Callithrix jacchus: one gene and its partner. The protein of the gene in region 1 interacts with the protein of each later gene in a pairwise test. Links are inferred from orthologs where the notes say so. Each region holds a gene or a part of one and is shown in the gene's direction. Other genes may lie near its edges.

Region 1 (5,466 bases):
CTGGTGCCATTTGGAGGGTTGAGGGTAGGAGAAGGGAGACGATCAAGAAAAACAACTAATGGGCACTAGACTTAATACCTGGGTGACAAAATAATCTGTCCAATAAACGCTCATGACCGAAGTTTACCTATGTAACAAACTGAACTTAAAAGTTAAAAAAAATGGGTCTCATTGTGTTGCCCAGGCTGGTCTCAAACTTCTGGACTCGAGTGAACCTACCACTTTGGCCTCCCAAAGTGCCCAGCCTTAGATATTTATACATCCATTTATTTTTAGAGACGTGGGGAAAGAGGCAGGAGTCTCTCTCTGTCACCGGGCTAGAATGCAGTGGCCCCATCATAGCTCAGTGCAGTGCTTGAACTCTTGGGCTCAAGCAATCCTTCCACCTAAGCCTGCCGAGTAGCTGAAACGATGGGAGTGCACTACCTACCATGCTGGGCAAAACACGAATTTTAGGCACAACTGTATGCTTTCACTCATAAGATCGTCAGCTTTTGAAGGACCTCAGCCTTCCTCTAGTTGTAACTCCTCTCGTTCTGAGGAGAGCCTTCCCTTTCCTGTAGAACGTCTCCCCAATCCTTCTTCACAACCCTCCCTCCTATCCCTGAGCCACCTGCAAGAAGGTTTGTGCCAAGCCTCTGGTACATGGCACATTCTAGCTCCTGATGTGATTTGGTTTCATATGCCCGTGCTCTCCTTCTGGCCTGGAGGGGAGCTGCTTAAGGACACAGAGCCCACGTGTAGCCCTTCCTTGTACCCATTGTCCTATATAGCAGGTGCTACCTAGGGGGTGCTCTAGTAGCTTCCTTGAATGAACCAAAGAGAAGGGTTGAATCAGCGGCCTAGGAGCAAGCTTGCATGGACTCCTGTGTCCTGAAACCAGCCTGTGTCCGGGAACCACTCCAGAGCGGCTGGAAGATGCTAGAAATTGGAATTCCATCTCATTTCTAAACATCTGCTGCCACTCATCTTTTTTCAGGGTCATCGGTCATCCCCACTGTTCCCCCCACCCTCCGCACTTTGTATAATTGAGTCTCTCACATCCCTCCATCTTCTCCATCACTGTGTGGTCACTTCTCAAATCACGCGTCTGGAAGGCGCCCTCCTCTACCCGGTGCTGAAGGCCTCCCGCACTTCCCCTCGTTTCCTCCAGAAATGAGCCACAGTGAAAGCAAACTTCCTGAGGTCCCGAGATCCCGGAAACCGGCTGTGAGGGCCGCTGGCCCGCCCGCTCCAGCTGCGCGTGTGTGCGTGTGTGTGCGTGTGCGCGCGCGTGTGCGTGTGTGTGTGTGTGCGTGTGTGTGCGCGTGTGTGTGAGCGCGCGCGCGCGTGTGTGCGCGTGTGTGTGTGTGCGCGTGCGCGTGTGTGCGTGCGTGTGTGTGTGCGTGCGCGTGTGTGTGCGCGTGCGTGTGTGTGTGCGTGCGTGTGTGTGCGCGCGCGTGTGCGTGTGCGTGTGTGTGCGTGTGCGCGTGCGTGTGTGTGTGCGCGTGTGTGTGTGCGCGCGTGTGTGTGTGCATGTGTGTGTGTGCGCGCGCGTGTGCGTGTGCGTGTGTGTGCGCGTGCGTGTGTGTGTGCGCGTGTGTGTGTGCGCGCGCGTGTGTGTGTGCATGTGTGTGTGCGCGCGCGCGTGTGTGTGCGTGTGTGTGTGCGTGCGCGTGTGTGTGTGCGCGTGCGTGTGTGTGTGCGTGCGTGTGTGTGTGTGTGCGCGCGCGTGTGAGGGGCCAACCCTGGAAAGGAAACCGCGGCCTGGCAAAGGAGAAGAAAGGAGCCGCCCCCTGCGTCGCCAGCCCCCTCCCCACTTCCGTCCTGCGCGCCGCTCCCTTCCCCCGCCTCTGGCCTCGGGGAGCGAGCAGCAGCCGCTCGGGCGGAGCGGGAGGAGCTGGCAGCGGGAGGAGCATGCCAGGCGGGCGTCCTCAGGGCGCCCCGGCCGCCTGTGGCGGCGGCGTGGGCCACTGCGCAGGTAAGGGAGCTGCCACCACGTCCTAGCATGTCCTGGGGGGTCTTGGCAGGGAGGGCGCGCTCTGGCCCCCAGGAAGTCTTGTAGGTCGGGGCGTGCCTCTGTTGACAACCCCTTTCGAGGTGAGGAAACTGAGGCAGGACGCGCGGCGTGCGGGGTTGAGAGAAGAGCCAGTCTTGGGCTGCTAGCCCGGTGCCAGCGCCGAGCCGGGCCAGGTCCCAGACCCAGGACTGTGCAGCTATCCCCTGACCTGCGCCCCCGCTGCGTGTCCTGGTGACCGGGGAGGGTTGCCAGGGCGTGCTTGGGTTTTGGATCCGTCCCGGGACACCTGCGCCGCGCTCACTCTCCTTGCGGTGCTCCCCAGCCTGCGCCCCCACGGGACAGGGGACGTCCCACCCACCTTAATCCCCAAACCCTGGATCTCTGGTTCCACCCCTTCGGGCACCTAGGGGGAGGAGGCTGGGAGAGGGACCAGGAACTGGTGCCTGTGGCTCGGCTACGGGCTGCTCTGAAATCAGTTCCACCGCCCACTTCCTACTAGGCACGCCCACGGCCCAAGCCGGAGACTGCTCGGTTTCCACCGCCGGAGCGCGGGTCTCGCGGTCAGCTCTTAGTGATGCCCACTGAGTGGATGGTTGCTTTTCAACATCACTCTTAAAATATTCGCAAAGGAATGTGAGGTTTTCCAAAGTCAGTGAAATTTGGAGTTAGGGAGTGCTTCCTTGTGTCCTTGCTGGGTGAGGACAGGGCTGGGTCAGTCACTTAAGCCTGAGCCTCAGTCTCCTGAACTGTAAAAGAGAACACTTATAATCTGGCCTCCCTGTGTCGTTAGCTTTGTTGTATGGGAATTCACTTTGCAGTGTTATCATCGTCCAGACAAACTTGAGATGAACAACACTAGGACCACATGAGCTGGGGTTTGGAGACAGTCTGCATGTCAATCCTGGACTTACCGATGCCTCAATTTCCCCGTTATTAAGTGGACACGATCACAGTACCTGCTTCATAGTGTTGTTATGCACTTTAACTGTGACCGTGGACGTGAAGCACCTCACCCAATGCTTGAGATACCCAGCGTGCACTCAAAAAACCTTAGTGGCTGTTTTTACTAAGCAAACTCTAAATAATTGGGAGGAACGTGATAATACCAGTTGGATTTTATTAATGTAGGAATAGCAGGACATTTAAAAATAAATGTAGTTTTTTACACTCGGCATGATACATGAAGTCGTCTGAGGTTCAGTTTTGTGCCACAGAGGAAAAAGAGCCCTGGACAAGAGACATGCAGCTTTTCTGGCTCTTGGAGTTTGAGCCTGCTTTCTCATCTGTTTACATAAAAGATAAAAGAAAAATGGGGGTAGTAATTACTGCCTTTTGTTCTGATCGCATTGTCTGAGGATCAAATGAGGTAAAAGATCTGAAGGCACCTTACGTGCGGAGTGTGAGTCACTAAGCACATATCACACATGATAGTACTAGGAGGGAAGAATAATATCTGCGCATTTTTAGAACTTAAAATGTGCCAGACATTTCATTAGGAATTCCTCTGATGAACTCCTCCCCATATCTGTATGGGACTGGGATGACAGTCCTCATTTCCCTATGACAAAGATAAGGTTCAAGGTCACCCTGCTTGGTTCCCAAGCTCACAGAGCTCTTGAGCATAAAGCCAGGATTAGAACCCTGGTGTGTGCCACTCACAGCTGTGTTCTCGGCCACTGGCCAAACTGAAATTATAGGGTGGAGCCGTGATTCAGAACAGACCTATATTAGATTTTAGGTAACTTTTTGTTTTTCTTTAAGAGATACAGGGTCTTGCTCTGTCACTCAGGATGGAATGCAGTGGCGCAGTCATGGCTCACTGTAGCCTTGAACTTCTGGACTCAAACAATCCTCCTGGCCCAGCTTTCTGAGTAGTTGGGATTACAGGCACATGTCACCATGCCGAGCTAATTATTTTTTTAGAGATGGAGTCTTGCTATGTTGCTCAGGCTGTCTTGAGCTCCTGGCTTCAGTCATTCCTCCCACCTTGGCCTCCCAAAGCACTAGCATTACAAGCATGAGCCACTGGGCCCAGCTTCCATCCTGCATATCTATAGACCCAAAATGTAAGACTGAATTGTTAGTTCTGGCAAAAGAGGCTTTGGGGTAATTCTAATTTCTTTCAGCCTTGTTTTATAAAATATACTTTAAACTACCTTCTTGTATAATGAATGATGACAATTTGCAGAAAAGTTATTAAAACATTGAAGGAACAGAAGGCGAGATCTCATTGCAAATCTCAAAGTGGTATCTGGATTAATGCTTTGTTTTACCATTCATTTGCCAGAACCTTTAGGATGCCACATGAGGTGTTAACAGGGATCCAGACTTTGGGTGTCGTGGTTACCTTGCAGGGCTGGGCCGCAGGACTTTTCTGCAGAAAGCTCATTGCTCACCCAAGATGCCACCAGAGGAAGCAGAAACTTCTGAGAGGAGCATGAATGTTCTTTGTGCTGCAGAAACAATTCCTAGTTTACTTGTTTCCTAAATTAAGTTTATCTTACGGGTTTTTATTTTTCCAGAAGCAATGCTTGCTCATTACAGGAAGCACAGAAAACTGTAAACTAGTAAATGAACATTAAAAACTACTGTAATCTCAGCAAGGTAGACAAATAGCTTGGTGTCTCTGTTCTTGTAACCCCTTTTTCTTTCTTTTTTTTTTTTTGAGATGGAGTTTTGCTCTTGTTGCCCGGGCTGGAGTGCAATGGCGTGATCTTGGCTCACCGCAACCTCTGCCTCCCGGATTCAAGCGATTCTCATGCCTCAGCCTTCCGAGTAGCTGGGATTACAGGCATGTGCCACCATGCCCAGCTAATTTTGTATTTTTAGTAGAGACAGGGATTCCTCTCCATGTTAATCAGGCTGGTCTTGAACTCCCGACCTCAGGTGATCCACCCACCTTGGCCTTCCAAAGTGTTGGGATTATAGGCGTGAGCCACCGTGCCCAGCCTCTTGTAACTCATTTTTCTATGCTGCATGTATCCGTTTGTGTCTTTCAAAAATGGGATGCAAATTATTACTATTTTGGTTAAATGGCAAAAATAGCACTTGCTAATTGCTCAAACATTGTGACATTACTGTAGAAAAAAAGTCAATTTCTCATGTTCATTAAAAAGTTTTCTTTTTATAAAATCTAAATATTTTGATTGGAGAAGGATTAGAGACTGAATTGTCGATGTTTGAATTTTATTGTGGTTTTGGTTAAAGTTTGATGCAGAACCTTCAGAGCAAAGAGAGGGTACAATGGTGACCTTTAAACGAGATTTTTTATTTTTTTGAGATGGAATCTTGCTCTCAAAAATCACACCACTGCACCAGGCTGGCGTGCAGTGGTGTGATTTCGACTCACTGCAACCTCTGCCTCCCACATTCAAGTGATTCCCTTGCCTCAGCCTGCCAAGTAGCTAGGACTACAGGTGTGCACCACCACACCCAACTAATTTTTGTTTTTTTTAGTAGATACAGGG
Region 2 (5,760 bases), on another chromosome or scaffold:
GTGATGCTTAACAGGTTTCATATTTACTAGGATGCAACTCCTAGAAGACAGAGACTGGTCTGATCCATCCTAGAATCTCTATAGCATCTAGCAGTGATCTGGGGGAGACTTGGTGAGGCAGCCTCAGCAGTGGTTAAAAAGATGGACTTTGGCACCAGTTGAACTGCATGGGTCTGTATCCAAGTTCTGCTGCTCTCTAAGCTGTGTCACCCTGTACATCGTGCTTGACCACCTTGTGCCTAAATTTCCTTGTCTGTGAAATAGAGATGGTGATCATAGTAACACCTACTTTGTAGTGACATTAAGCAGACTGAAAAAGTTAATTCTTGCAAAAGACTTAAAATAGTGCTAGACACATGCAATCACTCAACACAGGTTAGCTCTTTCTGTGTCCAGGGACTTCAAGTTCCCAGAGACATTTCTCTCCAACCTGAGTTCTTTCAGGCACAGAAGCCTTTAGCTATGCAGGGGGTCCTCTGAATCTTCCTAAAATGCAATTTTATACTGCGTCATTGGTTGGAAGCAGTTTTTACCCGTGATTCCAGATGACTGTAAATAGATGAGTTGGTGTTCAATAAATATTTGATTGAATGAAAGCAGAAATTTCCGAGACTAGGGTATGAAAAGCAGCAAAAACTTGTCCAAGGTCACTGGGGGAGACAGCAGCACAGTCGAGACTTTCTGACAAAGAGTTTAGTATTTAGTGTGCTTGCTCCTTCTGGCAGCCCCTCTCCCTATCACACAGAGGCCCCATCCCCTGACAATTTCCTCTCAAGGGTCTCTATCCCCAGTCTACCTCCACCGGCTCCTCCCCTTGCCTGAGCTGCCTCTAATTTCGGTGAGCTTGAAATTCACTGGTCATACAGAAGGCATTTTATCTGACCTTCCACATGCAAATTCTTTCCATTGGGATTTCTCCGTGTCCGGCTCCACCCCAGCCCACAGGGTCATAAACACTCATGTGTCTGCAGTGGGGCCCCAGGGATTCCAGAAATAACAGCAGGGCCCTCCATTAGAAGGCTGGAACATAGTAAGGCATTTCTGCATTAAGACACAGGCCCGTTCCAATCCAGGCCTCTCCTGTCTGTCAAAGCACAAAGCAACCTTTACAAGTCAGGACAGGGAGGGGCAGCCACGAGGGAGTCTGAATTTCTGGAAAGTCGGCACCTTCTCCTCCCATCTGTCTGCACTCTCAGATCTTCCATTCTAGAGATTCTCTAGATTCGCTGCAGTCTCCACTGAGAATGGGAAATTCTTTCTTGCCTGTGGCATTCTTGGCCCTTCAATGATCCATTCTCCCTAGACCTGCTGGAATAGGGATCAGAGCAGTGTGAACCCAGATGGCAATTCTCATCCTAAGATGGCACAAAGGCCACTCACCAGAAGGGCAGGACAGTCACCCTACCTGGATGGAGTGAGGGCACTGGGGAAGTGCCAGGAGAGACAGGAGTGCTTTAAAAGGAAAGTGAGATGCCAGGGATGACCCTGAATGGGAGGAGCCTGGGGAAATCTTCCCCACTTCAGCAGGGTGTTCCCCAGGAGAAGAAAATCAGAAATCAATACCCAGGGAGAGGATTTCAGATTTTCAAGTGTCCTCTCACAAATAATACCAGAAACGAAAAGCGTGTGCACAGGCGACAATGATGTGAAAAATTATGTATTTAGACGCATAACCTGGAAAGCCTGAAAGAAACATAAAAATTGATTTTTGGGGAGGGAGATGTTATGGGCAGGCTTTTTTTGGGGGGGAGGGGTAGTTATAGGTGTTTCCCTGCAAATTGTGCTTACTGGCATTCCCCATTTTAAAGAAAACCGCAGAGACTCGCCTGGATCTTCTGGGACATACCTTTTCATAAGGGAATTTTTTTGTTTTAGGTGCCCATCTGAAAACTTGAATGTATCATGTAAATGCCATACTGAAGCCAATGTCTCCATGAATCAATTCTTCTTTAATGGGGATGTGGTTTGCTGAATTCGGAACCCTAGTGGCAACGTCGTTAACGTCTGGGTTTAGTGTCTTGGGATCCAAACCTTTGTCACGGAGGGAAAGGTGGAGGAAAGAAAGGCCCCTGTGCTCCAAACAGCCGATTATGTCACCCTCCCAAGTCCAGCCTCGGCCGGAGCCCGCGAGATGCAATGCACCATCCGCAGCGGGAGACGCGGCCGCCGCCTCGGAGGTCGTGCGCGCCTCTGGGTCTCGTGCCGCACCCAGAAGTGCCGGGGTGGCGGGGAGGCTGAGGGGAGTTGGTAACGGCATCACCATGGCAACAGTGACGTCCTTTTACCCTGGATCTAATTGGAGGAAACCCCGTGGCCGGAGCCGCAGCCTGCCGGCCAACCGAACTTCCCCGCGCCGACCCACCCTCCTAGCCTCCGCGTTCCCTCCCGCCCCGCCCCCTCGCCCCCTTCCGCGCGCTCGGTCCTCACTGGCCCGTGGCGCGTCGGGGGGCGGGACTCTCGGGGCAAGCTCGGCGCGTAATTGGGCGGCGGACCGCCCCTCGGCTCCGGGGTAGGCTGAGACGGGAGGGTCCTCGGCTAAAGCCAAAGGCAGATCAAAGTGGTGGGACTCGCGTCGCGGCCGCGGAGACGTGAAGGTGAGCATCTGGGTTGGCCGCGGGCCTCCTCCGGCCGCTCTGGGCTTGAGGGCCCGGCTGAGGCGCCGCCCTTGGGAGCGGCGGGCTGTCGACGCCGCTCCCCTCAGGGACAGCTCTGGGCGGGAAGGTGCGGGGCCAACGGTCGCTTCCATCTTGGGCCGGCCGGGCGGGGGTGGCGGGAGCGGCCGCGGCTCGGGCTTCCCGCGCGCGGGGCCTCCGTGCCGCCCCCGCCTCCTCCTGCCGCGGGCCGCGGCCTCTCCGGGCGCCTGACGGGGGCGGGGGCTGGGACTGGGGAGAGGGAAATTCAAGCGGCCGCGTGTGCAGGAGACAAAAGCGGGCAGCGGGTCGCATTGTCTGACGGCGCTCCCTCCCTGCTTTTTGTTCTCGCCTCGCCGCCCCGCCCCTCCGCAGCTCTTGAGTCTCCTCCCGCTCCGGGTCGGCGCTCGCCCTCGCTCTCCTCACCCTTCGCCCCGGCCCCGGCCCTGCGCCCGCCATGGAGAAGACGGAGCTGATCCAGAAGGCCAAGCTGGCCGAGCAGGCCGAGCGCTACGACGACATGGCCACCTGCATGAAGGCAGTGACCGAGCAGGGCGCCGAGCTGTCCAACGAGGAGCGCAACCTGCTCTCCGTGGCCTACAAGAACGTGGTCGGGGGCCGCAGGTCCGCCTGGAGGGTCATCTCGAGCATCGAGCAGAAGACCGACACCTCCGACAAGAAGTTGCAGCTGATTAAGGACTATCGGGAGAAAGTGGAGTCCGAGCTCAGATCCATCTGCACCACGGTCCTGGTGAGTCCTCGGCGCGGGGAGCGGGGGAGGCCTTTTGTGGGGTGCTTTTCATCGAGAGTTTCGCGGGCAAGCAAGGAAACGTGAGCCGGACCTTGCCGGACTGTCTGCCGAGGTGGAGGGTTTCAGGCGAGCCCTGGCTTCCCTGGTTCTGGAGACTCCCGAAACCGCTTTTCCAAGGACAAGTCCATCTCTTTTCCCAGATGCTGGGTAGCTACCAAACGATGGAATTTGGAAACATCCAAGTAGGTCTCTGCGAGGCTGAAAGGCGGTTGTAAGTTTTTTGTGCCGGGAGACTGTGTCCCGAGATCTCTGAGCCGTTTAAATGTATTGAGTCGGTTCACCCGCTTCAGGCAGTTGAAAGAAGGCGCAGGCACCTTTTTGTTAGACAGTGTGGTAGGGATTTTCCCCAAACCCGGTAATTGAAATTTACTTCGAAAATCTGAGCAGTTACTTCATTTTTCTAGTAAGAATGTCTGTTGCGCCCCCCACCCCTTATAAACAGGAGAGATGGGGGAGTTGGGTAAATGTTAAAAGGGCACAGCTCTATCTGAAGAACACAATGTCCTGGTAAATTTCAACGTTTAGTAACATTTCTTTGCTGTCGCGTAGCTGTGCACTAGTGTTGAAGCGAATTCGTTTCTGGTTTGGAGCAAGCTTTCCAGGTTTTGAACTGTCCAGCCTTAGCAAGGGTGATTGTTGGGTGGAGTAGGTGGCTGGTGTGATTCACCCTTATTAGTGAGAGAGAACATTTTTAGCTTTGTCATTGCACGAATCTTTTGATCAGTTAGATAAGTTTTTAAAATTGAAATACCAGTATTATATGCAGGAGTGTTTTTTAAACGTTTCAGTGCTGCAGTCATTTCTTTGAATAAAATAGGAAATAATCTGACATGATTTGCCTCTCTTTAAGTGCCACTTTTACATGAGGCCTACTGACTTTTTATGTGTTTGTGCACATCGTATTTTAGGTGGGCTTTGGCATGCTAGACTGGTGATTTTTTTTTTTTTTTTCAAAAGGGAATAGAAAAAATAATTTCGCTCTGGCTCCCTCCCCAACTCCTTGTTTAAAAAAAAAATCCACAGAACTATTTTAACCTATTTTTCTAATACGACGACAGGCGCTCCGAACAAAACCATGGTGGATGGAAATAGCTGGTAAAGGGGCAAAGAAAGTAATGCAGACAGAGTGCGCACTGAAGTGGAGAAAGCTTGAGGTTATTTACTTTATGAAGTCAAAACTTTGTTTTATTCATCGTGTGTTCTTAGCTTCCAGTCCCTGTTTGACGTTGCAGAAGCCCTTGTAAAAGTTCTTTGGACTGAATTGCTTGTATTAAAAAAAATTTGCCCGCTTGAAAGTAATGGTAGACTTCACCTTCAATAACATATGGTAATGGCTGTTAACAGCATTATCTGTTACCAAGGAAAGACTCAAGAATTCCATGTTAACAGGGTTTTCTGTATATGTATTTTGGGTGCTCTCACAGCATATATTTCAGTCTCTTTCTGAAAAGACTATTACTTTGCAGTTAGTAACCTTGAGGCAATTCAGAATCGCCACATAATTTTTCTTTTTCTCCATCAAGGTGACTCTGAGTCAAAGGAATATTTGTTTTATTTTGTGGCTCTTACAAATTTTACTTTTTATGATGGCATAAGTTGGGGGAGAGTTTTGTTTAGTTGATGTGTAGCTTGAGAGAGAGACCAGGTATTATTAGAACTCTCATACAGATCATTTCAATAGGAGAGAACCCCTGAATTTAGGACCGTCTCTTTTATATACTAAGAAGAGATAGAATACTTTACCTTGATGAATCTGAGACACCAAGGCATAAATTAAATATTCATAAAATGGCTTAAGAGGCTAATCGTGGCTTGGTGGCCAGCCTATCTTGGGAAAGCACTTCTTCAAGTTGGCAACTGTATTGAGAGCTTTCTGTGTGCCAGGCACTGTGCTCTAAGCAATACGGGGCAGAACAAAACAGAACTGTGGATTATGCCCTCTGATGATTTATAGTTTAGAGTGCATGTGGGACATACATGAATGTAAATAACACAAGAATATTCCCATCAGATAGTTAATGAACACGATGCTATCTAGTCTGAAGGAAATAGAAACCTCAGAAAAGGGTTCAGAAAGATACCTTTTTGTGAGGTGAACATTGATGGGAGAGGCTGGGGGAGGTGTCAGTAAAGGCTGAAGGAATATCTGGGATAAGGCTTGTTCAGGGAAGAATGGAATGGTGTGGCTGGAGCAGAGTATGTGTAGAGTTGTTGCAGGAGACAAGTCTGGAAAGAAAGGTAGGGATCATTATTTATAGGAGAAGGTTAGAGTAAGGTTTTTTTTCCCCTCATTTGATTGATGAGAAACAGTGGAGTTTT

What was found.
Region 2: the proteins of DISC1 (region 1) and YWHAQ interact in a two-hybrid assay, tested with the Homo sapiens proteins (2 studies listed by BioGRID and IntAct). The link is inferred for Callithrix jacchus from reciprocal best matches to the Homo sapiens genes DISC1 and YWHAQ.

What each region holds. Positions count from the first base shown.
Region 1 is NC_133520.1:53,272,558-53,278,023, reverse strand, and holds the start of DISC1 (disrupted in schizophrenia 1 protein), read left to right. Parts: upstream 1-1,828; 5' UTR 1,829-1,896; coding exon 1,897-1,960; intron 1,961-5,466. UniProt on the Homo sapiens protein: Involved in the regulation of multiple aspects of embryonic and adult neurogenesis. Required for neural progenitor proliferation in the ventrical/subventrical zone during embryonic brain development and in the adult dentate gyrus of the hippocampus.
Region 2 is NC_133515.1:105,346,747-105,352,506, forward strand, and holds the start of YWHAQ (14-3-3 protein theta), read left to right. Parts: upstream 1-2,516; 5' UTR 2,517-2,594; intron 2,595-3,005; 5' UTR 3,006-3,087; coding exon 3,088-3,381; intron 3,382-5,760. UniProt on the Homo sapiens protein: Adapter protein implicated in the regulation of a large spectrum of both general and specialized signaling pathways. Binds to a large number of partners, usually by recognition of a phosphoserine or phosphothreonine motif.